Linked DNA regions of Struthio camelus. The protein of the gene in region 1 binds, or shares a complex with, the protein of each later gene. Links are inferred from orthologs where the notes say so. Each region holds a gene or a part of one and is shown in the gene's direction. Other genes may lie near its edges.

Evidence for each region. The genes of interacting proteins can lie anywhere in the genome.
Region 2: the proteins of WDR48 (region 1) and WDR20 are in contact, whole or in part, in a crystal structure (PDB 5K1C), measured with the Homo sapiens proteins. The link is inferred for Struthio camelus from reciprocal best matches to the Homo sapiens genes WDR48 and WDR20. Residues at the interface, in NP_065890.1 of Homo sapiens: Val191, Lys207, Gly208, Gly240, Gln241, Gln242, Arg243, Cys244, Ile245; in NP_653175.2 of Homo sapiens: Arg20, Ser364, Thr384, Glu385, Asp386, Glu524, Pro525, Leu526.
Region 3: the proteins of WDR48 (region 1) and USP46 are in contact, whole or in part, in a crystal structure (PDB 6JLQ), measured with the Homo sapiens proteins. The link is inferred for Struthio camelus from reciprocal best matches to the Homo sapiens genes WDR48 and USP46. Residues at the interface, in NP_065890.1 of Homo sapiens: Arg50, Trp77, Asp118, Tyr119, Lys121, Leu137, Arg139, Ser170, Tyr172, Thr188, Asp211, Asn212, Lys214, Ser230, Gly254, Trp256, Arg272, Ile364, Leu424, Lys425, Gly521; in NP_073743.2 of Homo sapiens: Arg181, Leu183, Asn184, Cys185, Glu186, Thr187, Cys222, Ser223, Glu224, Lys226, Cys232, Cys233, Ser234, Lys235, Gln236, Glu237, Gln239.

Annotation. Positions count from the first base shown.
Region 1 is NC_090943.1:6,910,482-6,920,528, reverse strand, and holds the start of WDR48 (WD repeat-containing protein 48), read left to right. Parts: upstream 1-6,151; 5' UTR 6,152-6,184; coding exon 6,185-6,232; intron 6,233-10,047. UniProt on the Homo sapiens protein: Regulator of deubiquitinating complexes, which acts as a strong activator of USP1, USP12 and USP46. Enhances the USP1-mediated deubiquitination of FANCD2; USP1 being almost inactive by itself.
Region 2 is NC_090946.1:71,324,539-71,335,200, forward strand, and holds the start of WDR20 (WD repeat-containing protein 20), read left to right. Parts: upstream 1-6,722; 5' UTR 6,723-6,823; coding exon 6,824-7,087; intron 7,088-10,662. UniProt on the Homo sapiens protein: Regulator of deubiquitinating complexes. Activates deubiquitinating activity of complexes containing USP12. Anchors at the base of the ubiquitin-contacting loop of USP12 and remotely modulates the catalytic center of the enzyme.
Region 3 is NC_090945.1:57,618,505-57,629,076, forward strand, and holds the start of USP46 (ubiquitin carboxyl-terminal hydrolase 46), read left to right. Parts: upstream 1-6,632; 5' UTR 6,633-7,174; coding exon of another isoform or gene 7,175-7,210; intron 7,211-8,277; 5' UTR 8,278-8,318; coding exon 8,319-8,399; intron 8,400-10,572. UniProt on the Homo sapiens protein: Deubiquitinating enzyme that plays a role in behavior, possibly by regulating GABA action. May act by mediating the deubiquitination of GAD1/GAD67.

The DNA of each region.
Region 1 (10,047 bases):
CAGGTGCCCATCATCTAAGCCAGCCACATCACAGCAACAGAAGACACCAAGATATCTACACAAACATGGTCCTCTTGATGACTATTTGTTAAGGCACTTATGCCAAATATAACCAAAAAAAAAAAAAAAGTACACTTCCCATTCTATATATAGAATATAGAAAGTCTTTATGGGGAAAAGCTTGTGTGCGCCAAAGACAGACAAGCTAATCCCAAACCGTCTTGGTTACGTATTTCAGATGAGTACCTTTGTAAAAGTGTTCTAGATAAAACAGTCACCAAATAGAGCAATAGTTTCCACATCTGCCATTCAATCATTCAAATAAGAAGTCGAGAGCCGACTTGATCAGATCATATGAACCTACAGAAGAATGAGAGCTTTAATAATGGAGGGCTCTTCAATGAATAAAAGCAAAAGTGGGAAGTTGAACAAAGTCAAACGTGGACCAAAAATAAGGAAGCCACATATAACAGTAAAGACAATTAAGCATTGAAATAAGTTGTGAATACTTGTGGCCTTCTCTTCTCAAACAAGCAAAAGTGTCAGCGTTTTTATCAGATTAGTTCTTCATTCTCTATTCCCCGCCCCCAAGCCCTATAAACATACAAACACAGTTTAAGAACTGATGGTAGATTTTCATAGTACCATATTTCTCATTTATTACACTTATTTGGAGCAGTATAATAATTATTAATTCTGATGCTTACAGCTCATAGATGATATTTGTGTATATATGTGCTTATGTAATGGCGGCAGTTCATTGCTCAGCAATAAAATTTCAGACTCTTTGGTAATACGAGCAGACATCTTTGCACTGGATACGCTTGCAATAGAAATATTATTTGCAACTGTAATTACTAGCACAAGGGGATTTCTGTTCGCTGTAGTTGCAGCTTCAGAGACTTTGTGATCCTCCCTTCCCTCTGGGACTTACACCTGCAGATAGGGAGACGTGTGCCTACAATTTGGGGAATACCATAAAACAGCTGACATATAAAATTCAGTGCTATCTCTGAATAATGCATACAAGCTTATTACAATGTAAACTCAAATGCATCCATTATGGGCTGAATAAATTCAAATGCTGGCCAGGAGATTCAGGAACCCCCTTAGGCTCAAGACCCAAGTAATCAAGAGATGCCAGGAACGTCTCTTGTAAAATATCAAATCCACGGAACAAGAGTGACATAGAGTAGCAGGCAAAAAGAAAGGTAGAGGGGGGATTTGCCTTCTTTGCTATTGTTGGAATGCACAATGTTATGTATAAAACACAACACAAAAGAATACACACACACAAACACAGAAATGGAATTATATTATAGAAAATACATAAAGATCTGCGTTTGTCTCTCAACAGATTTTACCCTAAGGAGGAACTGCAGGGCGGAGACTAAGAAACATTTCTGAGCTAAACTAAAGGTGTGCCCCAATCCCTTTTAGAAAAGAATGTAATAGCGTAAAGTAGCTAATGTATTTATCAAGATAGTAATTTATATGATTCCCATTTCCCATTGTTCATACAGCACAGCAGAGTAAGAAAGTACACTGACATGAAATTTCCTATCTTTTAAATAGCTAATTGGTTTTACAGAATAACAGGAAATGGCTTTTATGGTAAGTACACATTAAAGGCATTGTTACACAAAGTAGCTTTCTGCATAATGATCTAATGTGCACTGAATAAGACTGAAAATCAGCTCAGTGCCTAAAGACAGTTATTCCATCTATTTCTTCTTGGCATTCTGAAAAATATACTATTAGTATCTTTGAAGTATTTTGTATTCCTCAAAAGTAAGATGTTGTAAGAATGCAAAACATTACTATTATCATCTATGAGAGATTTCCAATCTTTCTGATGCACTGTTTTTCATACAGTTTCTTCATGAAATGTCACCTTTTATTGTATGGCTCCAGGCATGATTATGAAACGGCAAGTACCACAGCTCTCACAAAGACTGGGTCATTTGGTTTCAAACCTATTTCTTACTGCAGTTCCCTGTAAGATTGAAGTTTAAACTTCACCTTTTTGTCAAGGATGCAACTGGTAAATTTTTTGCAATACCAAGCAGCTTTGCAAATTAAAGAGAAACAAACAAGCCGTACATGTGAATGAACTATAATACAGTACTTAGTAGTTCTCAGATTACTGTGAAAAAACTAAACTTAAATCAACTTTCATGCTGAGATAATTATTCTCCAAAGTTCTCTTGTTTAAATTCTGTCCATCCCTCCTGTCTAGCTAGCTGGGGCATCTTATTTATCAAAATGACTCAAAATTTGTTTTCTTTCCATTATCCTAGTTCTACAGTTTCTACTCAACATCAAGCGGTAGTAATTAAAAATTAATGAGCAGTCACTGTTTTGCTAGTATATCCGCAGAGCCTTTTGCTCATACACGGTCTAGTTGCGATACAAGCCCAGACCCACCAACTGCCTTAGTGACTCAAATTTAACTCCCTCTCACTCTTCCACGCTACTGAAGAAACTAACTCCTGATCCAGTAAGCAAAAATGGCGTGTAAACTGATTTGCAGTATTTTTCATTAAACTTCTACAAATACTCACTCATTCTAAACCTTAACACGCGTACGTACTACAGAAAACTTGGATATTTGCTCGACCGTTTTCTACAACTACAACTTTATTTCAGATGATATTCTGCAACTTTCCAGAACTTAACCTAACAGAAAGAAGTGCAGTTTTAAACCCACTACTTACAGAGAACCACAGTAGTATCTGTGACTATTGTACAGGCTGTGTAAGCATAATTTTGTGACTTTTATAGCAGATTTTTGACACGAAGGTTTAAAAAAAAAAAACAGTGGGTTATATTACTTAAATAATTGTCTTGTATATGGAGAAGTGCAGAATATAAAATCCCAGAAAAATTCAGCCATGCAAAAAAAATTAAATAGGACTTAAGATCACCAAGTTTCACATCCCATAAAATACGGACTAAATACAGTAATTTCAGTCACATCAGAGTCATATCCATAAATTATATATTGGCTACAATACTTTTGGCTTCAGGCTACGTAGAATCTATCATGTCCATTGGGGATTTGTTTTCAGTGATTAGCTGGTCTTAAAACACGCATCTTCTTCCTGCCTCGAATTCATCTAGCTCATCTCCCAGCTAGGGAACCTATTATGGCTTTTCTTGATGGATTAAAGAGGTTTTCCTTTACGAACACCCTTTTCCACTTGTAGTTGCATAATTATACGAAAAAACAAAGTTGGAAGGGATCTCCTAAAAGCATCTAGTCCTTGCTATAGCCCAAGGCAGCATCAGCTACACTGATATAATTCCTAGAGATATTCGATACAGCAGATGGTGATTCCAAAACCTCCATACGGAACGTGTTCCAGTGCTTCACCATCCTGACTGCCAGAAAGGTTTTTCTAGTGCCTCATTTGAATTTCCTGAACTGTAATTTCAGCCCATTACTTCTTGTCTCATTCATCATGGACACGAAGGAGTTTATTCCATTTTTCTTTTTATTTATTTGAAAATAGCTATCATGTTTCCTCTCTTCTTCTGTAGAAAAAATCCATCTGGATTTTTCATCGTCATTCATACTTTTCAGGCCTCAAATCATTCTTATCGCATATTTCTGAATCCTTTTAACATTTTTTGGAAGCCTGTGAAAGTCAAACCTTACAAAGCAGGACTGGAACAGAAGACAGAAGAAGCAGGGAAATGCTATCGGACTCTTGAGTCTACCAGTACAGAGGAAATATTATCTTTATATTCTTACCTATTACAATGATTATTCACCCAATAAGCATTTCTATTCCTTGCACTTTCATCCTACTTTTCTCCTGGTGTCAACCTCCTGGCTTAACCCCTTGACCCTATTCAATTCTCCCTGCTTCCATTTTGGCTCAACCTTCTTTTGCTCACACTGGTGTTTTCAGAAGCTCACAATTTAGCCAGAGATGATTTTCATGGAAATTGAAAAGTCACCTCTGGACTCATATATCAAAACATAGTTTCCCTAATATCAAAAACCTCACTCAATACCCAAAGGAGGAACCCAAAATGGAAGCTTGCATGTGGAAGAGTCAATTTTGTCACAGTTAAACAAGTGAACAGAGGGTCTCACAACAAAAAGCAAAGAGCTAACCTAACAAATTAGATCATCTTATCACTTTCCTAAAATGAGACAAACGTGATGAAATGCTGAAAGTTTTACTGCTTAACAAAGAAAATCTTACTTACCGTATTTTTTGCATAATCTTACCCTTATAACTTAATGACTCTGGGTTAGTTTAGGCTTGCTAAACATACTCTCATAAAGCATAGAACCTTATCATAATTCATATCTTCAGCAGCCTTCAGTAAAAAAGAGGCAAATATGACAGTCCTTGGCCTAGACGATCTTCAGAGGTCCCTTGCAACCTCAATGACTGTCTGATATAAAGAGATCACTAGATCTTTTTCTACTTCAACTTAATGAATTGATGATCTGAAAGAATTAAGAAGCACTGTATTATATATATATAAACAGCAATGACTATCCATGAATAGCCAGCTCTTAAACATGCAAAAAATTTAAAAAATCCCATAATAACGTAAAGAAATAAAAGGTCCTCAGTCCATAAGTAAATTCAACTTTAAACCAAACATACAAAAAATGAACACTACCCTTGCAGACGCAACATGATGAGATGAATTTTATCAAATGAATAACTCATTAGTGATTATGGATTATGAAACGATGACTAGGATTTATGAATGAAATTATTACTCCAGTTTATCAAGGAATATCACAAAAATCATAAACACAAACATTTCACTATCTTTCAAAGACAGTAAGAGATGACTTTGAGGTATGCACAAAACTTGTGCAATTAGAAGAAATCTTCAGCGTTTTAATGGACTAACACATACTGAAATGTAGCGAGGCACTTTGCTCAATATTTACTTAAGCAGAAGACTTCACACTGCCACATTTTTCTCCAGCCCAGAATATGATAAGATAACATATTCTATGCATGACAGCATCTGAGACTCTTTGATAATTACTGCTGGCCAGAAGCCAATACACAACTGAGCTCTTCTCAGAAAAAGGTTTAATTTTATCTTAGAAAAAATGAAATAAATTAAACACAGTTTCATACTTGACTTATGAGGTGCCTCAAATCATATGCTTCCCACGACCATAATAAGGACAAAATAGTAGAAATGCTAGAGTTAAGAAAGCTTTGGTCAAGGAAGATCTCCTTCAAGAATCATACCCTCCACCTGCAGCTGTGATGAGATCCTGCTGCACTCAGCAATGCTAGAAGACACGATCTGTATCAAAATACACAAAGTTTATCTCTGTAGCAGAACTGAAGCAGCTACTGAGTCTTCCACATATGGCTGCAACCAGTATTGATCAAGAACATGAACCAACACCCTTTCTTCCTTACCCCTTTACTGATTATTTGCTCTGCCAGTAAAAATCCTTCTTTTTCACTAATTATCTGCTCATCCCACCCATCTCCTCTTCTAACCACCTTCACTGCTTTGCAGTTCTGCTGTAAGAACCAGCACCGTAAAGATGTCTTCCACCAAGGCAGTCCGCCACACACCACTTCACATAGCTATCGCCCACAAGATGAGAGCTCCTCAGGTGTCGGGGCGGGACGTCCACCCCGAAGCATGAGGCCGGCCCGGTCCCCCCCGAGCTGCCTTCTCTCACAGGGCGCGGTGTGGCCCAGCACCTGCTGGCCTCACGGAGGAGGGAAGGATGCGGCCCGAGGGGACGTGAGGGGGGATGGCCGTCCGTCTGACAAAACAACGCGCACCCGCTCTGCTCCCGAGGCGGCTCGCTATCAGCGCTATCCTCTTTTTGTAACACGTGAGGCGGCCGTGACAGGACAGCCTCACACAAGGGCTCGGGCTGCATCTCCCTTGCAGCGTTTGCCCCGCGCGGCAGGCGGTCGCCGTCGCAACCCGCAGCCCTCGGCCCGCGCACGACATGGCGGAGCCTCCATCCCGCGCCTCCATCCCGCGCCTCGCCCCGCCCCCCTCAGGCCCCGCCCCTCAGGCCCCGCCCCCTCGGGCAGCTCCCCTAGCAACGCCGCGGCCAGCCACACCTCCCCATCCCGCTACGCGGCTACAGGGAGGGAAAGGGGCGGGACTTCCGGCGCGGCTCACCCTCCTCGGAAATGACATCAGAGTGTCAACATGCAAGATGGCGGCGCATCATCGGCAGAACACGGCGGGGCGGCGGAAAGTGCAGGTGAGGGCGCGGCCCGGCCGGGCCGGGGGGCTGCGGGCGGGGGTAGAGGCGGCGCGGCTGCGGCCCGGCCCGGGGGGGTGGGGCGGGGTAGGGCGGAGCAGAGCGGAGCGGGGAGGGCCAGCGGGCGGCGGCGGCGGCGGCGGGGGGGGGTCAGGGAGAGGCCGGAGGGCGCGGGCCCGCCCCGAGGTGGGGGGGGGGGAGGCGCCGCCGCCGCCGGCCCGCGGGGCTGGGCCCTGACTGCCATCGGGGGCGGGGGGAGAGGGAATAGGGCGGTTTCCATGGCAACGCAGCCGCCTTTTTCTCTTTCCCAACACCCCCGAGGCCCCCCGCCCTCTCCCGCCGGCGGTGCGGGCCGCCTGGCACCGCCGCGGCCCTTGGAGCGCCCCGCGGTCGCTAACGCCCGCGCAGGGGCGGGCTGGAGCGCGGCTTGCGGCTGAGCTGGGTCAGGCGGGGCTGAAGCATCCCACCCCTCTCCCCTTTCCGGCTCCCACTAAGCCTTCCCTAAAGGAAGACCGTGGGCAAGTCAGTCCAGTGGATGGAAACTTTCTTAATGCACCTGAGACGTGATCAGGCTTTGCAGTGTGGCTCGTAGGGCAGGTGTCTATGTAGGTACGAGTATTCCGAGTAACCTTGCTGGAGTTTGGGAGTGCTGAAATACCTACAGAAAGTAAAGATTCTCTTTAACGTTGAAGTGGTTAAAACGGTTTTATTATGATCCTTAACTTTTTTTTTTTTTTCTCCGTACTACCAGCTCCTTAAATATTTTTGCAGTTTTAAATGCGGTAAAGATTTAATGTTTTATCACTGTGTAAAGCTGCCTACCTCTAGTGGCAAGTTCAAGTCTCAACTCTGTCTAGCCACTATGACCAAAAGAAATAGTGATTAATTCTGAAATAGTATCCGGATCCTTCCAAAGGTGGGTTCGGTTTTTGAATGCATCTTTTGTATTTTGCTGCGGAGAGGAAATGTAATATTTTCTAGAGCCTTTAGTGGTTTTCCGCAGTTAAGGTAAGCACTTGGCCTGTACTGTATTAGATAAGGAATTCTCTTACTCTTCCAAAAAAACCCTCTGGCAATGTCTAAAAGGCAAAGAATCGGAAATATAATATCCCTTTATTGACTTCATTACCTGTGTCATATGCAAGTTCTTGCAGGTTTTTCTCATAAGGAGAAGATATTTATGATAACTAGGTGGTTTTTTTTTGGTGTAATCCTATTTCTTTAGGAATTCTTATTTTAAAAAAGGAGAATTTTCTCCAGAACCTTTAAGGATAGGGGAAAAGACTTTCAGAAGAGTGCCTTTTGGGCATAGAGGAACTTCATTCATAACCTGACATGAGAGCTGGTTAAAGTTTACTGAAATCTGAACTATTATCTTAGATGCATCCATTTTACTGGTAAGCAACCAAAACAGTCGGTTTAAGGCACTTCTGTGTATCTAACTGTATGTGTTTGAGGGCTAAATCAGAGTAGACATTTTAAGCCTCAAAATAGATTCTGTACATAAATAAAGGTAAGAAATTTAAATGTAGATCAGGCACTTAAAATGTCGACTGGAATGCTGTTTGCATTTCTTAAGCTTAACTATGCATATATGAAGGCTGCAATAGTAAGGCTGCCTGAGCTGGGGAAGGAATGGGGATATAGTGGTGTGGGAGTAGCAGGAGCTATCTGGTGAGAAAGGGCTGGCCATGTGCTATGACTTTCAGATGTATTACTGTGGATTAAGTCAAGATGAATCCACTTTTCAGCAGATGGCTTAAAGTAGCTTTTTTTGAGTGACTGCATTGTAACTGTTCTCCCAAACCTGCTGCCTGGTCTGTATGACGCCCTCCACCCTCAAATCCCTTTGGCCCAAAGGGTGAATTTCACCATAAGTGATTTCGATCAGTATCTTGATTACGAATTTACTGAATCAATTTTAAGTACTTTTTATCATGCACTAAAATATGCTGTACATAATAAGAAAACACTTTTGCACTGAGTTTCTATCATGTTTCTGCACCAGTACTGTATCATGACAGCAACTGGAAACTAGTGAAACAAAAAAGCTCCCTTACATTTAGAAAATATTTCAGCTACTAATTTTCTTGAATAGTAGCCTGTATTAAAAGCATGCTAGAATTTAAATATATTAAATGCCATAATATATTAGTTTTTTTGTTTTTGTAATACCTAATCAAAAGAATAGGAAGTCAATTGACTCACTGAAAAATTCATCTTATTCACAATAGCTTCTATTACTTTTATTCTAGGGTCTGGAACTCCTGATAATTCAAATACAGACCTCTCCTTAGTTAACAACTTATTCTAAGGTGTATCATCTGCTCTACAAAGATGCTAAAGAAATAGCTTGCTTTTTCTTGATTTCTTCTTCTCTCTTTTTTTTTAATGAAATTGATGCCAAATGTTGTGGAATCCTTCCAGTAATTTTGAAAAATACCATTTTTTTACAATTATCTATGGTAGCACTTGTGTCTATGAAAATTTTCTCTGCTTAGGAAGAAGAAATGCACACTGTCAGATTTTGGCTGTTCACCTTATCCTCCACCGTGATGGTGTGCTGATATTTTTAAAGCAGATTCGAGACATGGAGATTCTGCCCATCAGTTAGGATAGTGTCTGTTGTAAGAGATGTAATCTCACATGGGTAGCAAAATTTCAGATTAGCTGATATACTTGTTGTCCATAAAGGAGAAACATCATAGGTCCTTCAAGAACTTCATTTGACTTGGTACGCTGAAATTTCTGTTGACTGTAGATTTAGCTCTTGGCGCTCCAAAATAGTCATTAAAATGATTAGTCTTGAACCGTTTAGGGTACTGAACTCCATAAAATCTTTATAATGAAGGCCATCACTTTGTAATGTTTGTGCAGCATCTACTGTAGTGAAACATTCTTATTCATTAGGGGATTTTGTAAAAGCTACTGCAGTATAAAAGTAGAAGGCCTTGGTCATTATGAAAATGTTTCATCTCCCACAAACCTTGCCCCGCTCAGACCATTGTGGCAATTACACCACTAGATCTTTATCATAGTCATTATCGTCTCTGTGGTTTAAAACTGATTGTGAACCGACCCAATGAACAAAGTAATAATGTGCACTTAGGCTCCCCTATTTGCAGTGTTTGTCAGGGGGTGCTTACAGATACAACTTCCTGCTGACCTTCATAGTCCTCTCTACATATATTACAGTACCTCATCTGGAGTGATAGAAGTGTGTATGACATGGGTTAGAGTTGAAGTTTATTGCGCAGTTTGTCCTCAGCTGAAAACCTATTTCATTTATGTTATTTACACACACATATGTGTGTGTTTTATATAAGCATATGTACATACACTATATATGTAAATGCATATATATGTTATGCATAATAAATAGCATACACAATTGCATATGTAAGCATATAAAGTATGTATGTATTCAAACATGTGTATGTGTGTATACTAATACACTTTTATATGCTTTTTTTAAAATTTGTATAGTAAATATAATGACTAAGGAAATGTTAATGTACTCAATATCACTCATTTTTAAGCAACTTTCAGCCCCCTCCCCCCTCCCCCATAATGGTATGATAGAGAATCACGTGTGGATTATCAGCAACTTTCCTCTGTTCATCTTAGTGACCTTTTCGTTTTTGTCAGCTTGCCTGCTGTCCCCCCCATCTTACACAACCGTCAGGCCTTTAAATCAAGGATGCCGTTTTTCTTACTGATCTATTTGAGGTTCTCTGTGTTAAGATGGGCATTTCAAGCATCATTTCAGCAGATTTCACACAAGCCTTATTTTGTTCCTCTATGGCATGTTAATA
Region 2 (10,662 bases), on another chromosome or scaffold:
CTCTGAAAAACGATACAACTACAAATATAAAAATGGAGGCGTATCTGTCACCCTCAATTCCTAGTTATGATGCTTTTTTCTGTCTTTAAATTAATATGCAAATGAAAGTTGAAAAGTCAGTTTAAGCTCATACATGTCTATGGCTTTCCCTTTTTTACACGGTACATGACTGCTCCAGTCTCTTAAGTCCAGCTCCGAGGTTTAGATTTAAGCCAACACTTGGGACATATTTAGACATCACAGTCAAGTTTTAGTTAGCTGATTTCTGAAAAGTAAATTCCTGCATGCCATGACATCTATCAAATATCTTGCTCTATGTCAAATAATTCAATCAGAAAGCTGGTATTTTCAAATTGAGGGTAATTGCCCATGAAACGTGTCAGATTGACAATTACAATATTCTGCCATGTCTTTAATAAGTGATCCTATCGTTTTTACCATCAACGGAGAAGAAAATATGTTAAAACTTAGTACATATGTGAAAATATGTTAAAACTTAGTACATATGTAGCCTTGTATTTGATTTTAGCTGGTTATACCTACTTAAGAAAATAAAAGAAAAATAACGGTATATGAATATACATCAGCTGGCATTTAACTCATCAGATATTGGGAAATGACATAAATCATGTTAATTCATAGCACCTGGCCATAGAAACACGGAGGCAAAAGACAACAAATGTCACAGGACTATGTGTACTTGATTAAATGATTACTGGTAAGTATATGTTAGTTCAGAATATAATATTGTATGAGCTGGATAAGGATGATTGTTTCACGTAAACTGGAAGAGCAGGGACCCAAGACCATTGCCTGAGAGCTGACAGTTTTTTATGATGCATTAAAATTGTTGTGTGGTGAAATTGTAAGCTACATATGGTAATGACATAAAAATACACGTGTCATAGCAATAAATCCCCCTTCTCCTCAGCCGGTCCCTCTTCTCTTTGCCTTTAAGGTTACAAAATCTGTAGCATAAAAAATACTCCCCCTTTGATTAAAAGATTGCATTGGGAAATTTTCTTGAACCGTACATAGCTTATATCCATTCACCAATTTTCCAGCTCCCAGATAGGAAGATGTCCTGGATGCCAGAGGGATGTCTAAGATTTGGTAATTTAACTTATGCCCTTCTTGTCTTGCAAAAAGAGACATGAGCAACCTGACCATGACAATAATGAAGCCAGTGCATAATTCAGAGAAGGGAGCTCTCCTTCCTTTAAACTTGCAATAATTCAACTCGCACTGAATGAGCAGCTTTTGCTACCAAAGCTCCAGTGCTTCAGGCTGCTCATAGAAAAGCTCATGAAAAGGCTGATTTGAACATAATCTATATAAAACGTCAGTGCTTCATCTAAAGCAATTTGGAGTCAGTCATTCAGGCCATGGAACTGAAATTACACTTGTGACACTGATGGAGAATCCTCTCCTGTGACTGGACAGCAAGCAGATAGCCGTTCTTCTGAAGCTCTCTGCAACAACATGTTTATTCTGAGACAGTATTGTTTCAGGTGAGAAAGGCAATAAGGAAATGTGGAATGTGATAACAGGTTTCCAGTCCTTTTTTGAGACATACATCAAAGCAACAGAAAAAAACGACTCTATCCGAATGTTCTTTGCTTGTGGATTTCTAGAAGAATCAATTCTCTCCCCAGTCTTTTTTCACACAACAAACTAGAGTGCCAGCACACAATATACAGAGGAACAACAGTTCTGCTGCTGCCAAAGAGCTAAATCTAGGCACTAGGCAGCTGAGTGGCCAGGACACAGCTCATCCTCTAACAAGCAAACTTTACTTAATACATCATATAAAACTACGCAAAACTAAGCATATGATCTATAGTTGCCCTTAAAAAGATCTCACCATCAGTTAGCCAGATGCCATGGGAGCCTGAGGCTCTGAGGATAAGCTTAAGAGGTCCATGTAGACATATCTCTTTTATGTTCAAAATGTTCGGAGGCATTTGACTCTGGTCACCTTTTACAACTTTGTTAGTTCTTTATTTATTATTTATTATTTATTATATATCATTTCCCATAAAGGCGGCTTTTCCTCCCTTGGCTGTTAAAGTCCACTCGTTATCTTTCCAAGGACACTTTTTTCATTTTTTTCAGTTTTCCTTATCTTCTGCTTAGGGAGCCTTAAGTCACACAACGGCAGCTACTTTTCTTGTTAATTTGCAGGGTTAGCTAACCGTTAACTAACTGTTGCTCATGCCAGCTCCAGGCTGCTTGAGCCTCAATGCCTATCAATAACCATGTATTATCACAACACTATCACCAAGATGACTTTCACAATAAAAAATCAGCTGAACGAAAGAGGTGATTCTGATGAGCAGAGAAAATAATTTTGCAGTATTTACGTACTGAGTGTTCTTGGCCTTCTTGATGGAGCTAAACTCTCACAGTGCATCACTGACAATCATCGCCATCTAGGAATTTGAGTTTCATACGAAACCTTGATCAGTGCTGCTGGCCAACAATCAGAACCTTACTTCTTCACAGCTTTGTCATTCCTCAGCTGGATTATAGCGATACCGTATGCATGGATATGATGACTTCCATAGTTAGGGAGCTTTGAGAAGTACAGAATGCTGTAGCATCTCTTAGAAATACAAACTATTTGTAGGCCTATAAAACCAATCTTTCCACTGGATTTAAATCAACTTCATAATCTCAGTCTTATCTTTAGAGAGCATAATCTCCAGGATATATAAAGCTTCAAGATAAGAGATGTTATTGATAAGAATGGTACTCTTCACTACAGAGGTAACCTAGTCTGTGCAGGAGACAACGTTCACGGAGATTGACTGCAAACAGCAAAATGAACTCATCCAAATTCACAAGAGAGTTCACTCTCATCCATTCCCAACTGCAAAGCATATTTCTTTCACCTTGCCTTCTCTAATCTAAATGTTTGTACTTAAAAATATGTTTTTTTAAGTAATAACAACCCAAAATTATGAAAACAAAATGTTTCACATGCTTTTCCTCTTGGGGAGTGATGAGAGAAAAAACAATATACACGATATTCCAGTTTAGTACAGACTTAATTGCTTAGAAAATACCCTTTCATTTTGTAATATATATCACAATGTATTATCAATGTTTTTAGTGTTAAATGTGTGCAGTGCTTAAGAAAAGATTCTTAATACAAATAAGGAACTCACAATTTATATTGTTTAAAAATATACCATAAACAATATTTTCTCATGCTGAAAGCAGGTTAGATGTCTGTTAAAGCGGGTAAGCCATACGGGTAAGTCATAGGAAATATATTTCCAACATCATAATTTTTTTTTTCTCCCTGTATTACATTAAGGGATCTTGCATGTCCTTCTCACCAACATCAGTCTTTTGACTCGTTCAGATGTACTGCTTGCAGATCTCTGTGTACTTGTGCCTGCTAGTAATTCATGCACGTTCATAGATTCCGTAAAAAATGACATGTTGCAGAGCTTTTGATACTCTGAAGTCAGTCACCCACTAAATATTTAAATTCTTTTTGGCATCAATAGTCCAAGCAAGACTTGACAGACCTGCTGTAGTAGATAGACATTGCAGAGATGGTCTCCTGATTGCCTGCCTCTGCAAGCAGTGCATATTAGAATAGACATTTTTTTGCATGATAGAATATGGGTGTAGTCATCGTCCTTTTCTTTGGCTCAGAAGCGTTGATAAAAGCGTTCACTGGTATCAGTTGTTGCACTTTTAGGGAAGTAACAGATGGCTCGCAAATTCAAGCACAGAAAAGTTTTGTTGATAATTGTACTCACATTGCATAAGTCTTAAGGCTCCAATTTTCTGCTGCCAGCAAAAGCCTTATTAATGCTGCATCCTGAAAAATTGCAGGACCAAATTATATTCTACATAAATTGATCTCAGAGGATCACACTATTTTATGAATGCTACTCAATTTTGCTCATGTCTGTTTTCCAACTTGCCAAAACATTTGGGAGAAGTAAAGAAAGGATTCAGTAGTGATTCTGACTGACTTTTGATGTATTGATTGTGTAGTGCCTACAAAATAACACATCTATGGGCATCCTCATGGGACTATTTCAGAACTATGATCTTTAGTTAGCTTGAAACAGAAGAATTTACAGTGGCACAGAGAACTTTTTCATGAGGCTTAACTGTGTAATCTCTTTTTTCCCATTCCTTAACCAAGTATTTGATAAGGACTGTTGATGGGGCTGTACAATAGTGTTCTTGTGACTTGCAGCTGTGTTTTTGAAATGAATATTTGTCTTGGATTCTCTGTGGAATCTCTCAGCAGCTTTTATTGATGTTTCTTGGTAAATGTTAAACACTACATCAGGTCTTTGACTTTCTGCACCATCATGTACTGCTGATAACCAGGTACGTGTTAACGTTGTTTATTCTTTGGATCACACTCATTCCATCAGTGACAGATGGCCTGCTGTGCTTTCAGTAAGATTTGCATTCCACGCAATCCTTCTACCAAAGTTGCCTACTTTGTTTTTCATAGTGACCTTGCCAATGTTATCACTGTGTAATGAATAAGACATGCCAAGTCTGCCAGCTTGGAGCAACAATTAACATTCTTGGTTAAATTCCTGTCTGCTTTGAATATTATTATTATTTAGAGATCCTTGCATTTCCTGCTTTTCTTGTGATGACTGAAAACATTCTGATCTTCTTCTCTTTGGAAGTCTGTACATGACATTTCTGCATGAAAGAATGACTCTCAAGATGATGATTCCTAAAATAACCACAGTTCTACTCACCTACTTTATGTGCTTTTAGGAGGTCATCAGTACCATCTGGCAGGGCTGGCTGATAAGCTGACAAGATCTATTGGTCATTATTGATTGGATTTATCTCACAAATTCCAAGCAAGGCTCCAACACCCGATCTTTTTAAAGGTTATCTGTACCTGTTCAGTTGTTCACTCGGATATCTACTCTATGAGTTAGCCTGGAGGTCTTCAGCTCTTTCATGTGTCTCAGTTACGTTGTAATAATATTTTGATGCTCAGCAGCAAGATGGTATTTAGCCACAAACGAAATCATTTTTAACTAAATTGATTTGAGACTAAATCCCTTTTGCCCCCTGGGGTCTGAGTGGACTTCTGTAGTTGAGCTGATCTAATGGATAGCAAGGGAGGTAGAGGTCCTGCTTCCCTCCTGCTCTGCCACACATTCCTGCCCCCTCCCCTACACAGTTACTGTTTTTCATCTGATACCATTCATTTCACATTTAGAGGAGGGGTTAACTCTCTGCCCATTTATCTTTCTGAAATGGCTCCCCATGAGGTCAGATGAGCACCACTGCTTGTGAAGGAAGTAGCAGCAGCAGATAATCACAGTCAGGAATGAAGAGAGCAGGACACCTCCTTTGGTAGCAGCCACATTAGACCAACTCAGTTACAATATGAAACTATACCTTTAAAGTGCATTTTTTATTTTTACTTTTAGGTGATCTAACTCTGTGCTGCTTAGCTTCTCCCAGTTGCACATTCCTAACTCCTCCCTTATTTTGGCTTTACCAGTTCTGGGATGAGTTGGATGAGCTCAGTTGCTGATCAGCAGTTTCCTTGTCTGAGAACCTGCCATTTCTTTTTGTGGGGTCTGCTTTCAAGCTGCTCTGACTCAACCTTTGGTTGCACGATTGCTAGAACTGATGCAAGAGAGGTAGTAAAAATATGCAGCTGAAGACAGAGATCAAAACCCCTTTTTATAGTGGGAGATCAGTCTTAGATTAGCTTAAGTCAGCCATAATTTCAAGCCACGAGGCTGTAGTTACGACAACCTCTTTAAACCGAAACTGCTGCCGCCGAAAGAAAGTCTTTCCTCCCTACCCAGTGAAACAATCCCTTCCGACCCCGTGCAACTTCCTCCCTTGTGCCTGTAAGGGGCAAAGGGGCATTGATCTGGTTCACCATGCAACACAGCCAGCTGGATGACGATCAGAACAATGAAGTACATTACGGGACAACCAGTTTTGCAGGTTAATGTTCAGCTGGGCCAACTCCCCAGCCTGGCTCTGCATGCAGCCATCAGCTTAAGCAGAGACCAGTGCCGAGCTGGAGGGATGCTGGTACTGCTTCCTTTAGGAGCAGTGCTGGCCTGACTTGCAACGTGAACGGCATGTTGTATTTGTTACCCCTTCAACAGGCTTGCTACCCCGCGGGACTCTCCCAGCCAGCCTTAGAAACCCCACCTGAGCCAGCAGTTTGGCACCTCGAGGACACGCCAGTGACAACCTGCGGGCAAAGCTGGCCTGGGCCACAACAAAACAGTAGCTCAGTACAGAAAGCCAAGGAGCTGGCACCCCATTTCCATTTCTGTGACCACCCGGGGAAAAGGCTCAAACGCGCACAGCCGTTATCGTAACCCTGCAAAAAACCACTGCTCGGCGCACACCGAAATCCAGCTTCGGCGCCTCAGGCGGCGGGGGTGGTTACCATCGCGCCTCGCGCGCTGTCAGGGACAGGCGCTCCGGCCCTGAGGCGACGAATTTCTGTCAGGTACAACCCCCGCCCCGCACCCGCCAGGCGCAACCCCGCCGCCCCCCGCCATCTTGAGCCGCCCCCTCCGCAGCCTCCGCTCCGCCCCGCCCGGCACGCGCCCCGCCCCCACCCCACGCCCGAGGCTCCGCCCCTCGCCGCCAGCGCCCACCCAAGGGCCGGCCACCTGGCGCATGCGCAGACGGGCAGTAAACAGGCAGCGCCGCTCCGCCCCTTTACGCCGTTTGCGTGGCCGCCTCCGCGTAGGGCCGCGCGAGCCCCGGCGGCGGCGGCGGCGGCGACGGTTGCGGTTGCGCAGTGGAGCTACATCCGGGCACTGGGGCAGGATGAATGCTCCTTTCCAAGATGGCGGCGGAGGGAGGAGGGAAGGAGATGAACGAGATTAAGACCCAGTTCACCACCCGGGAGGGGCTGTACAAGCTGCTGAGCCACTCGGAGTACAGCCGGCCTAACCGGGTGCCCTTCAACTCGCAGGGCTCCAACCCGGTCCGCGTTTCCTTCGTCAACGTCAACGACCAGAGCGGCAACGGTGACCGGCTCTGCTTCAATGTGGGCCGGGAGCTGTACTTCTACATCTACAAGGGGGTCCGCAAGGTACCGGGGCTCGGCCGCCGGGCGAGGAGAGGGGCTGGGGGGGAGCTCCGCGGCGGGCCGCCCCCCCCGCCGAGGGCTCGCCGGGTGCCAGCGGGGGGCGGCGGGGGGCTGGGGCCGCCCCGCGGGGCCGCTTCTCCTTCGGGCCCCCCGGGGCCTCGCCTTGGGGCTGGCAGCTCCTCGGTTGGGGCTCGGCTGTAGCTGCCGCTTTAGCTGCTCTCCCGATCAGCTGGTTCGTAGGGTAGCGGTTCGAGGAGGGGGAGCGTAGGCCTGGCCTGGAGGGCTGTGCGAGGTGGACTGGCGCTGGCTTAGTGCTGAAGGGCTACGTCAAAATACGGTTGTCACCAGCGGTAGGTGTGTGGGGGGCCCTTCTAAGGGATGTGATTGCTTGGCCCCTCCTTGGCGTACAGGGGTGAGGGCTGGCTTTCCAATAGTGAGGCAACTCGGGGCCTCTTTCACCTGCTGCTTCAGGTGTGAGGTTGCTGGACACTAATGCTTGGCATGGTTATGGTGATGTCAGATCCCTGCTTCCAGGATGGTGGGAGAGCATATCTTCCTAGCCTTAACCAAGTAGTTACAGCTTTCACTTTAATTTTAGGCCTTTATTGTGGCTTTGAAGTGTGGACTGTTTCTAGGATTGTCTCTAAATGGGGGCAGTGCAATGAGCTACATGTCAAATAGTTAACACAGAGAAAGCTGTTATTATAGGAAAGAAATGTTGATTCAACCTAAGAGATCCTCCTTAAATGTTAATATTTGATGCACGGCTAACAGCGTGTGTTTTTGATGTCTCAGTTCACTGTATTTATAAACAAACTTGTTCTGCCTGTTGTTTATTAGGGTCCTTGGCCTCATGGGATTTAGTGGGGCGTTCAGAGTTTGTCATGCTGTGTGAATGCACGTCACTCAATATATGTAAACATAGATGTCGTGATTGTCAGTTTTCTGTTTTCTGCTTTGAAAAGTGGATGTTCGTTACCTTACGTATTTGAGACTCAGCAGCCATAATGTGAGTACCTTGGAGTCTTCCTGCTTGTAGCCCACCAAGCAACAGGGAATGAAGGCACAGAGAACTAGTGACGTACCCAAGGTCACGCAGGAAGCTTGTAGGCGAGCAAAGAATTATACCTGAATCTACAAAGACTTAAGCTAGTGCCCACATCACTCCTCCACCTATATAAAATGTAAGCGCTAACTGGAGATAAAAGCTGCCTGGGTATCTGTTGACTATGACTTGACAGATCTGTCCTATGTAATTGTATGAAAAAAATGCCTACAGATTTTGGTTTCACGCTTTAATGGATTTTAACAATCTACTTATGTTGTAAATAATATTTAAACAAAGATTTCTTTAAGTACCTGATGAGTGTTTTGTATCAAACATGCAGTTGCTATCTTTAATGCTTGCAAGATATTGTGGGTGGCACTTATCTCTAAAAATCCGTCTCTTAAATTATTGCCATGTTTGGATTCATTTTTCCATACAAGTAGCTGCAGACTTCTCTAATCTATATTGCAGAGCAGGTCTTCATGTAGTGTAGTAATTTTACATGTGTTTCTTACCAGTTGTCTTAGTCATCTTTTACTGCACTGCAAAGAATAAAAATCTAAATCCTGGAAGTACATTGAAAATAGGGAATAACTTTTTCAAATTAAAAGGCTAAGCTCAAAGTATTTTTCTAATACTTTTCTCTAGATACTAAAAGCTGTTTTTGTGTGTTGCGGTACACAGTAACTGAAAATTTTGGTTTGTCAAACTGTTAACTTGTGAGCTTTGAGGCATACCTGTTACAACATTAAATACTTTATTTTTTTCTCTCTGATTAGTGTAAAACATACTCATCCAGAACAGATTTTGTTTCAATAAGCTTTTACAGTATTACCATTTTAAAAAATAGTGTATATCCTATATATATATAACATTCACTTTAGTACAATGAACCTAGAGAAACAGCTGAAATAGATTAAAACATGCTTAATGTAAATAATTTAACTGAGAATGGGAAAGATGGTCTATCTTAAACTTGTAATACTTGTTCCTTAGGAACTTATTTTGAAATTATTCAGTTGGAAGTCATTGTTTTGTCTATGTAGAAAATTGACATGAGAACAAGGTTTTGATATGATCATTTGAGCTTTTCAAAATCAGAAGTTACGTATTTTGTAGCTATCCTAACAGAAGAGAGCTACTGTTGCCTAAATTGATAGTGAATAACACTCTCTTAAACTGGACAAACTATCAAACTCTTTGCAAGCCTTTCTGTTTGGGGAGGGGATGGGCATTTAAAACTGACTGATCTGTGAATCTCTGCATGACACAAAGAACAAGATGATGTTAGTGAAGCTGTATTGTATATATCTGGTAGCTTGCTTTTTTTCTTTCTTTTTTTTTTTTTTTTTAAGGTCCGCTTCTTGCTGACAAAATTCTACACTTTTACTGAAATGAGTGAAAGAGTCATGAGGGCTGTATTTTAAGGAGCCGTGTATGTTAGGTACCTAGATAATTCTTGCGTTGGTAATCCAGTGCAGGTCAGTACACATCAAGTAAGATTCAGGCTTAAGCCATGGATGATGCTTAAGAATAAATGGTCTGAATACTGAGTCAAAGATACTACTTGAAAGGCTATTCCTTAAAATCACTGATACCAAACTTTATTCTTTTAGTTTCCATTGGATACTAGATATGCTTTATCTGCTATATCTACTTTGTAAATTGTCTTTTTACCTAGACTACTGCTGTGTGTGTTTTATTTAGGAAACGAAACTTATGTGAGGATCACCATTTCCAGGGATCTTTCTTTAACCTTGATCCTTCTTTCAAGAAACTTGGATTAAAAGTTATGTCTAGCTCCCAGAGCAGTCGTGCAGAACTTGTAATGCTGATATATGATGATGATAGTTCAGGGAAGAGGGTTGGACAGCACTTTGAGCTGTCCTTAGAGGCTTTATGGAGAAAACACAAATTTCTTCTTTGCATCTTTAAAAAGGAAGCTGAGTTTCTACTATTTCATGGTTTTATGTTACCTTCCTCAATGAAAGCACATCTGTTATGAGCCAGTGTTTTTTTCATATTGAAATTTGCACAGTTTTTTTTTTTTTTTATTTATTTATTAATAAGGCAATGAAGGTTTCCAGAAAACTGCTACTTTCTGTTTTGGATCCACTGAAAAGGGAAGTGAGCCTATAGTTAAGTAAAGAGAAATTAAACTGTAATGGAATGAGATGTGGTCGCTTTACTTATGCAAAATATATAATTATTCCTGACTGCACTGAGTATTATTTGGCTTTCACTTTCAGTCCTCCTCAGCTTTGACTTTGAGGCTAGATGTGTACAATGATGTCTTGTTAAATGAAAGTGGTGAATTTCCATGAACTTAACTGATTTAGGGACAGCTGAAAATGATGGTCTTGCAGTGTAGCATCCTTCTGGCAGCGCGCTCTTATCTCCCTCTTGCTGGCTTTGGCACTACTCACCCTCTGGTTGAGCCAGTCCAGCTTGCTAAACCAGCTGGTAAATACTGACATTTTTCAGGGTGGGTTTTCTCTCAGTACAGTGGGCCTAGCCATCTCACTTTGGG
Region 3 (10,572 bases), on another chromosome or scaffold:
AGCTCCATGAAACTTACTTTTTTGGCCAATAGAGGCACAACTTCAACAGCAGTAATGCAGAGGTCCTCTGCCCAGCTTGTCCCTTCCCAGACCTTGCCTGTAGAGTAAAGCACGGTCCTAGCACGGGTGAGATTGGATCTGAGACTCCATAAACAGGAAGGAATCTTCTGTTCCCCAGGCAGGTGCTGTAACCACTGAGTTATTACATGTAAAACTAGGCAGATCTGCCATTTGTATGTTCCGTTGAAGGGAAAGGGCTGCTGCTAACTTTTGTCTGAACAAACTACTCAGCTGGACTCTAAGTGTGCCTGCCAGACTGAGTACCTTGGGCACTTGAGGGAAAGTACATCTTACTGGTGGATGTAAGTGTAGTTTGAGTTGGGTCCTGGATCTCCAGCCGGGAGAAATGCAGATCTGGTGATGAGCAGAAGTATTGTGGGAATTTGAAGTATTGTGGGAACTTGACTATTGAACACAAAAATATTTAAGGGTATTTTTGTGGGCAATCATTTAAAGAGCTGCACTAAAGATTCAGGCATTTACTTGCTGTCTTTGTTGCACATCAGTCACCTCATGGTGAATACGAGCCTTTGCTTGTTGCCGGTGTGAGGAGTTAGTAGGTTTTGCACATGCCCTGGAGAAAGCTATCAGGCACATGGTTCAACCATGCCAGTAAGTGTTATTAGATCTAGACAGAGGCCCATTAGACATCAGGGCACCTCTGGCTTAGGCATTCACTGAGAAGATTGGAAAGTCGCATTTTGAGCTTAGCTAAGTGACAGCTGGGTGCCTGGTTATTTTGTGGATTTAGCACTAAGCTTATATGTCTGAATTCAGCTGTTCAGGTCTTGAAAACTGGTGCTCTAATCATCAGATAAAGTCTATCTTCGTAAGATGCATGAATTTCACCTCAAAGTCACTGCTTTGATTCCTATCTAAGCTAAGAGAAGGCTTTCATTTATTTAAAAACATCATGTATTTAGTTCACAAAGAAGTTCACAATTATCACTAATGCTTTATTTCAATTTCACTGTCTTTCTCCACACTGATACGAAGGAAGACCAAACAAGTAAACTTTTGTGAGATGACTGTCAGTGTTTACAGATGGATGTTAGTATTCATCCATGTTAAATAATTGGCAAGATCGAGACCTTACACTGCAGCGGTCTTCTTTACTTATGCATCAAATAAGGCTAGGTTTTGAGTAATACTGCTAATTTAATAAAAATATAATTTAATTAATTTATGCCACAATTTACATAAAATGAAAGGACTATTTTAAATTCATGCTGACAGTAGATCAACTGCCACTTGCAGCTTGTCTACTGTCAAAATATCCATTGTGTTTTGTTCTCAGAGTGTAAATTACTTAAAATTAGAGCCCGTAGACTAGAACAAAAATGATAAATAAAAACTCTGGAGAAAGCAAAGGCAACACAGAATTGTTATTTCCTTTCCAGAGGCAGAAATAGCAATACATTTCTGTAAGAAACTTAAATTTTCTGTTATTTTTGCTCAGTGAGTCTTTTCTTTTTTGGTAAATTACTTCCATGACTAAGGTTTGGTCTCCCCCTCCCCTCCCCCCCAGGTGATACTTAATGATTAGAACTTACATAGCATTTTTCCCAAAGTACATTTCGTATAGGCAAGAGATATGCCAGTAAAATTCACAAGTGAACTTCCTTGCTAAACAAGGTACCAGATAATAAAGAGGCTGCAAGCTTCTACCTTATGGAAATGAGGGAGAATTTTCAGCTGAGCAGTGTGTCAGTAAAGGTCAGTATTAGGTAAATCAATGAAGCTGTAGCCCAATATTAAGCTGTTGTTGTCAAAGCTCCTAATTTATATCGGGAATGCAATTTTATGAAACATGATCAAGTAGGAGGAAAAAAGCAGGAGTAAGACGTTGTGAGATAATCACACCTCTAGGTCATTATTGAACATCAAATTGCCTGTAAAGGCCTAAAGAGCCTGTTCATAGAATGAACTGTTTAATGGTTACAAACACAAAACTATTAATCTCTTTTATCTATTCAGCCAGCTTTTGGAGTATTAGACATCAATATATTTACATCTACTTTGTTCTGCTGTCTTTTGGTGTTCAAATCTGACATTTAACTATAAAAAAAGTCGGATGCTATAACTGTATTTTGTTTTCTTTCTTTAAAATAGCAATTTCTGAGAAGAAGAAAAATAAAAGACAGTATTCTTTCTCCACCTACTAGAATAATGTCTGTATCAACAAAGCTAGGGTAGATACAGGCATGAATTTAATGCAAAGTTTCATCCTCTGTGCTTCATATTCAGTAAGCGGGAGTATGACTTGCTAAGATTGTAAAGGTGAAGAAAAAGCATAAACATGTTTTAAATCAAGAAAAATAACTTTTTAGATCGTTTGAAAAAGAGGGGTAGATGCTGGTGCAAAGCTGATACCATCCTAAAGAAGATTAGTGATTCTACATTTCTGGGAGGACTAGGGAGTCCCCAGTAAACCCCCCACGTTTGTTTGTGGGTTTTTTTTTTTTTTTGTGGATCACCATCAATTTGTCATGGACTACAATCCACTCTTACCATTAGATTTTTAAATGTAAGTACAGTGGGTTCCATGGACCTACTACAACCCATGTATTATGGCCTCTCTGCATGGACTACAAATTGGGAACTGGCATTGTAGTAAAGCTCCCAATCTGCAGTGCTGCAATGGAGGCCAAGCTTCATGGAAAATATCCACTGGTAAAATCAGAAAGGGATTAGCACAGGATTTACTACTGTCTTCTCTGCTTCCTGGCTTTTTCCATAGGAAAGCACAATTGTTTAACTTTTAAATAGTCTCTACTTATCAGAGTTGGTATTACTTTGGGAGAACTAAGAGCAGGGTCCTGAGAGCTGATTTCAGGACTATTTCTCTGCTGAAATTAATGGTGGACTATACTGAAAATGGAAATAGTGTTATGCAGATAGAGTAAGGCCAAATAGATTTGGCCCAGTATTTATATAGCATATAATTTGATTGTATTAGTTTGCAGGAATACCGGATACCTTTCTGTTTCAAAAATAAAAATTCTACACTTTAAGAAGAGTATGTGTTGCTAAAGTTTCCTCTCCTCAACTGAAATAAAATTTAGAAATTGTAGCCTCAGTGTTCTATGCTATGTATCTGTTCTTAGTCTTTCTGCTTGCATCATCTGCGTATTTTTCATCCTAACAAAGACATACTGATAATTTTTATTGAACATAAATAATGTGATATTCAAAATATTAAAAGTTTCTAAAATTGTAAGCATACTTTCAGTACTGATAATGTAATTCAGGTATTTGAGTTCTTTTTCCATTCTTACTATGTATCCTCCAAATCCCCCACCCCCTCCAAAAAGCTTCTGAGTATTGTTTTAATTGCTCTTACCATTAAAGCCACTTCAGCTTTTTTTAAACCTGAAAATATATCCTGAATTTGAGTCTGTTTCAAGCACTGCTTAGCATAATTTACTGATGGTCACCTGTTTCTGGACCATAGTTTATTACAATAAAAATGTAAATGAATCCTCTGTGGAATTCTCTAAGATTTCTGAAGAGGAAGCATAGTACCCTCTTTGTATTACAGAGTAAGCATGTATTCTAATCCCAGTTTTGCTACTAACTTTCCTGTGTAACTTTGGACAAGTCACTGCACTTCTGCTGCTTATTTTCTTGTTTTGTAAAATAGGCTAATATTAACTTGCCACCCAGGAATTTGACAAGGCTGAGTGAATGATTGCAAAGTACTCTCAGAACTTCAGAGGGAATACATTATTAAAGTCCAAAGCACGGTTAGCCAAAGAGGATATTTACCATAGGTGCTTGTTTTATGTAGTGAAATAAAAGTGTTAAAGGATATAACCAGATGACCAAAACTGATTTACTTCTAAAAGTAAATGCGGGAGACATTTTTTGACCTTTCAACAGAAATTATATAAGCATTCTTAGGTTATAAATAGCTCTTTGTTTTCCTCCTCTTTGTTTAACATTGAAAAGAAACACAGGGTTAGCTCTTTGTTATGAAGAGATAGGGTAATACTTTGGAGTGGAAACAATTATTCATTGTTCTTTATTTGTACAGTTCCTATAATGTTAGGAACTAGCATTAGTTGCTTTTCTTAGCACTTTATCTTCAAAAAGCTACAGAAATAAAGTTTCTAGTTCTGAAAATGACAACACCAGAAAAAAACAAAACACACACCAACCCATTTCAAGTATGAAAGTTACTTTTCTATTTCCTAGTTTGATCTGTGACTGAAGAGCAGAAAAAGTCAGTGCTAAACTTATTGTTAAACTGGCATATAAACACTTGTGTATTATTTCCTATTTTTATCATAAATCCTCCAAAAGAAGATATGAAATATGTATACCCTTAAATGAAAGACTCTATATAAGCTTTAGGAAAATGACATTGAAATCTTCTGAGGATGATATGTGCATGCGTGTATATCTATATGCATCTATATATGTGTGTGTACATATATATGTATATGCTTTATATTTCGAAATATGCCTATTTCCAACAATGGCCATTTCCTTGGACAATCAATAACTTGCTCAACTAATAGCAATTTGTTTAATTTAACAGAAATGTTTAACAAACATCTGAAGTTATCCTGAAGTCAGGTAATTGGGATCCGCAAGAAAGCAAAAGCATGAAAATGCTGCTTACCTTTTTTAAACTTTTTTATGCTCCTTCTTGTTGTGTTTTCTTTGTGTTTTATGCTCTGGGAATAATATCCTTCACATTAGAATATACTTGAAGTAAATGGCTTTATTAGTTACCGCATTTTGTTTCTTTTCAGTTTTTAATCACCCTTCAAAACCATTCATTTGCTTTGTAATTTTTTTCACTGAGACAAGTGTGATTCCTTGCAGTAAATTGGAATAAATGGGGTGCAGCAAAGAATACAGAATTAGGCTACCTGAATAAAAGGGATTTTTTTAAAAAAATAGCCATGGTGCAGCATTGTCTGTCTCCATAGGCTGTTCTGAAATGCACTGGAGACTGATTCAGGCCTTGATTGCTTCAGAATTGAGCCTGGGGGTGGCCAGTCCTGAAATGACATCTCTGTTTTAATTCCCATTTCTCTTGGTTGTTTCAAAAAGACTTGTGATACTACTCATAAACAGCCCTTGGAGTTTAAGCAGGTTAAACACTTGGGGTCAAATTCATAAGCAGCATAAGACCATGAGCATAATAGAGTAACACAAAGGATGGGTTTTTTTTCTCACTGTTACTTTATTTGATAATTCTTTTATGTAGCAAATTTGTAGATTTAGGGAGCAAATGCTTCGCAGTGAAATAGTTTAATAGACCTTATGACTTCAGTCCATTGCCTACAACAAATCTTCAAGAGAGGTGTTAGAAGTACAGGTTCCTCCATATTGTCTTCCAGTTACTGAGGAAAGAAAGTTGTGTCTCCATAACAACTCAGTTCTGGGTTTCTTTGCTGAAACTGTCAACAGGATGCCAACTAATGCCAAACTGATATCATTTTTGTAATGTGGGCACTTGTCCATGATGAACTGGACTGAGGCCAGCTATCTAACAGTATTCTCGGGCTAAGAATTCATCTTTCAGATGTTGCTGGCTGGTGATAGATTTTCATTAACAGTCAGAGGCCTTCTCTTGCAATCCAGGGTCTCAAAAACTTTAGTGACTTTGGAATGTTTTCTGTAATTAACATGTGGGGCCGGGCTCTATAGACCAAAATGTGTATATTCTAGCATTGTGAGGTGAAAAGTGTAGCCAAGCATGAGTATGCCATATTTCCAGGTGTTGTTAGGAGGAGGCATGCCCATCTCCTAGATCCCTAGATGTTGGCAGTTCTTCTCTCTCTTCATCTGGATGATTTCCTCAGCATAGGAGATGAAAATACAGTGTTCTTAAGTTTCTGCTGATAACAACAATCTCCGCTCAAGCAGAGAGGAATTCCAAGATGAGACATTGTCCTAGCTGAACTCTGTTCTTGTTTCTCTCAGAGATTTGTTGTTAAGACAAGAGTTAGCTATTTAACATCCTTGTTTACCACATGTGCAGATTATTGCATGTGCAGTTTTAATATACTCATACCTTGCAGAATGGCATGGACCTCAATTTACTTGAGTGTTTTGAAGATGAACTGAGATTAATGCATTAAGGGTGTTGTATATGTTCCAGGCATTGTGAGCTTGTGAGTGAGCACTTGGGCTCTAGTATGTATCATGATGTGGGGGGTCATGTTCCCTAAACAACATTTGTGAAAGTAAATGTCTGCATAAATCGCAAAGCAAAGCACCAGCTGTAGGCAGTAAGTTAGATTCCTGCCTTCAGTTCTGGGATTTAGAAGTGCCCAGGCTCCTGCGTACCTAAAGTTAGGTGGAGGGAGCACATCCCAAGGTACAGTGCTGCTACCACCCTTAAACATCCATGTGTTCCTGCCTGGACCCTGCCTTCTGCTCCTTCTTGCAAATATGATTTCATATATTTAAAGAGATCTGGGTTTTGCAGTTCCCCGGCCCTTCTAGGCCTGGCGGTTAGCGTTGCCCCGGTGCCCCCGCGGCAGCACGCCGGCAGCAGGGCCCGGCCCCTCGACGGGCCGTGCGGGGCGGCAGGAGCGGCCCCCGCGCCCCTCTCCTCCCCGCAGCGCATTGGCTGCGGCGGCGGCCGGGCCCGCGGGGCGCCCCGGCCGGTCACCGCCGGCCGTCCCTTCCCGTCCCTTCGCTGGCGCTGGCAGAGCGGATCGCTGGGCGCTGCGCTGCAATGGAGCGACGAGCAGCAACGGCAGCCGCCAGGCGAGGAGGAGGAGGAGGAGGAAGGGAGAGATTAGCGCGGTGCCGGCTGGCGCAGAGGCGCGGCTGAGCGCTCCAGCGGGAGCCCGCGGCCCTGCGGACCGTGCAGAGGGAGAGGCGGAAGGAGCAGAGATGCGGCTGCTCTTGCCGCGCTGCTGAAGCTGCCGGTCGCTCGGCCGGAGGGGAGGCAGGCAGGTCCTTCCTCCAGGCTGCTCTGCGGGCGCCTAGGGTGCCTGTGCAGTCCCCTCCTCTCGCTTTTATCCCAGCCCCGGAGCAGAAGCCTCCTCCGCCGCCCCCTCTCCCTTCCTGCGCTCTTCCCACCATGAGCGGGGCTGGTTTCACCTTATAAAGATGGCGGTGTGGGATCGCTGCAACCTTTAGACTAATGACTGTCAGAAACATCGCCTCCATCTGTAATATGGTGAGTGCTTGGGGGCAGGCGTGGCGGCCCGGGGGCGGGGGGCGGCACGGCAGCCCCTCCTGGGTAGGCCCTGCTGGGGCCGGCGGAGGGGCGGCCGGGGGGCTCCCTCCAGGGGCGCCGGGCAAAGGAAGCGACCGCATCCCGGCCCCGGTGGCAGGGGAGGCGGGCGGGCTGCGCCGGGACGAGCCCGGGGTGCAGCTCGCCGCCGGGGAGCGGCGGTGTCCCCAGGAGTTTGCCGGAGCAGCGCCAGGAGCGGGGCGGGGAGGGACGGGGATGCCGGGCCGGTGCGCGGAGCCTCGGCGCGCAGGCGGTCCGGAGCGGGCTGGCCCCGGCCTGGCCCCGGCCTGGCCCCGGCTCACACGCCTTGCAGCCGGAGCCGCAGCCTGCCCTTCCTCCTCCTGCCCGAAAAATGTTGCGAGAGAACCGTAAAGTTCGGCTCTGAATCCACATCCTCATTAACTCAGTGGCCCCAGTTAACCCTCCCAGGCAGGCACCCTGTGGTCTCATGTGGCCAGGAGCTCCCTGGGTTACACAGACAATGAGGACGCTGGTTTAGATGCGTGACTGTAGGCTTTCGGATCCAGCTGCTAAGTACCTGTTCTGGGAAATCTTGGCTTTAGAGTTAACTTCAGGGTTTCTTTTGCACTGCATGCCACTCAAAGGACCTGCTGTTTGTAAAGTACCCTGGAAGCACTGAGCTTTCTTTAATCATAAACTAGACAATTAGGAAGGAATAATGAAATGTTAATATTTTGTTTAGGTTGAGACTTTGCCACTTTCATCCCCAGGAGAAGTTGAAAGGACAGTTTCTTCTGTGTGCTTGAGTCTAATTTTAATCCCGACTCTACAAACCTGGAGCATCTGACTGGTTTTGGATTTTTAAAACTTTTTGGTGAGGGAAGGGAGAACTTAAAGTATGCCTGTCGAAGGGGTTTATTAATACAGTGAGACAGTAGCTAATTTGTCCTAGGCGTGGGTGAGTGCTAAGTACCCCAGTGCAAACAGAGGAGGAGCCCGTTTCCACGCATTTTGTTGTTTTAGTCTGTATTTTTCCCCCTTATTTCCAGGTTCTTCAAGAGCAGCTACATGCAGTTGCCAGCTTCCCTCCATGTGGTGCCCCAGCATGCCCTGTGCTGGCGATGCCACACATACCATTCATCTGCCCTGGAGAATGGAGCCTACCTCTAGGGTAAGGCAACGCACAGCCCCAGAGGCCTGGCTCCTGCGGGGTCAGCAGCAGTGGCCTGGGGGTGGGGGGCACGAACTGTCAGCCTCCTCCCCTTCCATGTCTGCAGGCTCCCACTTCAGTGGGATTGCTTTTTCGTTTCCACCCAGATGCCTAGAGCATCCTGCACATAGTTCTGACATATACCTCAGTCCTTCCTTCAAAACGACTGCTCTGACGTGCAGAGAGGGAGGGCTGGATTTGCGCTTACAGTAAGAAAAATAAATCCAGACTCCTTGGGGTAAAATAACCTGGGTTCTCAGCTTTCTTCACTAACAGTAAGCGGTTCTCTAAACTTTTCATTGTTCTTGATAGGTTTCAGTCCTGTGAGCCAATGGGCCAAGGATACTGCAAAAAAGGCTTTAGGTAACAGTACTGTACAGAGGAGAAAACCTGGACTCACTTACCTTCCCTTTTAGGCAGGCTCCAGTTTTTATTGCTGATGAATGGTAGGTGTAATGCTCTGCAAAACGCTTCCTAGAGCACTGCATGAAGGGGAGCTGGAGACTCTTTGATGGTTGTAAGACGTTAACATTGGCATAAGGTGTTACAACCTCCAAGATTTCTCTCTTGCATGCTTCAGAGAGATGCACTTTATGTACAGCATATTTGTCCCAAGGCCTGAACAGACCCAGAGCAAAACCAATGACATGATTTTGATGGTGTGCCACTCAGACACTAATAGTGTATCTTGCAAAAGAAAAGTAGCATCTGAGACACTGAGTAGCATGGTGACACTAAAGGGAAGAATTAAGAATCTCAGGCAGAAAAACTCAAGGCAATTCTGGCTTATGATATCAGTACTGGTGACAGTGGGTGACACTGGTTTAACAATAATGAGGTTCTAAAGCTACGTATTCCTTGGGCTTTGCATAGTTTGCTTTTAGAGATTTTGTGTTATGCTGGTCACATTTAGTCTTTTCCACATAACAATAGAGACGGAGACAGGAAGTACTTTTAGGAAGAGCAAAGCTGAGATTTTCAGAAAGTTATAGGTAGGTATTGGTAGCGCTGCATCATGGCTCCTCTATAAATGAGTCCATTTAGATGAGGTGGGGGGCTCCTGCGGATTTGGACTCGAAGGACTCTAGAAGGAGTTATGACAACATTGCATAAGAATGGGACTTTGCAAGGTTAGAGATATATAAGCAAACAATATAAATAAATAAAAACTGTATATTTGCAGTGCTAGTTTGATTTAGGGCACCTGCAGAAATCTACCAGACAAAGGTATTAATTCCCAGATCTTGTTCCTGTACTATACCTCAGTGCTTGAAGAACTGAACTATTTACATAGTAAAGACCTTAATTCTTAGGTAATATGTTTTGCTATATAATGCAGCATGATAACATATTTTTAAGTCCTTTAATGTGGTTGAACACAGTAATGAAAAAAAAAAAATCCTTCTTTTTCCTTTTGCTTTCCCTTTCCATTTGACGGTGTTTAGAGAGTTGTTTTTCCTAACCACTTTCCTCTAAAATGGATGATGCCTGGTTGGGGATTTTATGTTAGTTTGTTTTTTGTGCTGATATAAGTATTTGTCCCTCCCTGAATGCAACATAGGTTATATATTTTCAGAGGTAGTCCCTTCTTGATGATGATTTTTGTTTTGTTTATCTGAGCGTTTTCATGTCCTGGAGGGGAAATGTTAGATGAAATTTAGCTGGGTAAATTTGCCTCAAGAGAACTTGGCTAGTCAGTGTTGTAGGATGTGTACTTGCTACCTAATTGTCTACCTAATAGTACCTGTGATTGTCATTTTGGTCTCCTGAAGGTGATAGAGACTCAGTGTCTTCCAGGAAGGGTCAAAACCAGTTTAGTGAAGCAAGGGTGAGTTTTTAACTTGTTTGCAAAAGAAATGCCTTGTACTATACATTCACTAGATAAGCTCTCATATGCTGAGGCTGACACAGTAAGAGTTAGCCAGTAAGAAAAGAGATAAGGTATAAACCTCTCATGTGCCTTACACTTGGCACATGATTTGTGGTAAAACTTCAAACCCACAACTTCTAGAATTAATCAGCAGAACTCCTTTGTTGTCTTTTCCTAGTTTTGTCCTCCTAATTATAACAACAGCACTATTAATTATTATTCAGTGACTTGATAAATGAGACCAAAGACCTCCTATTTGTTCTG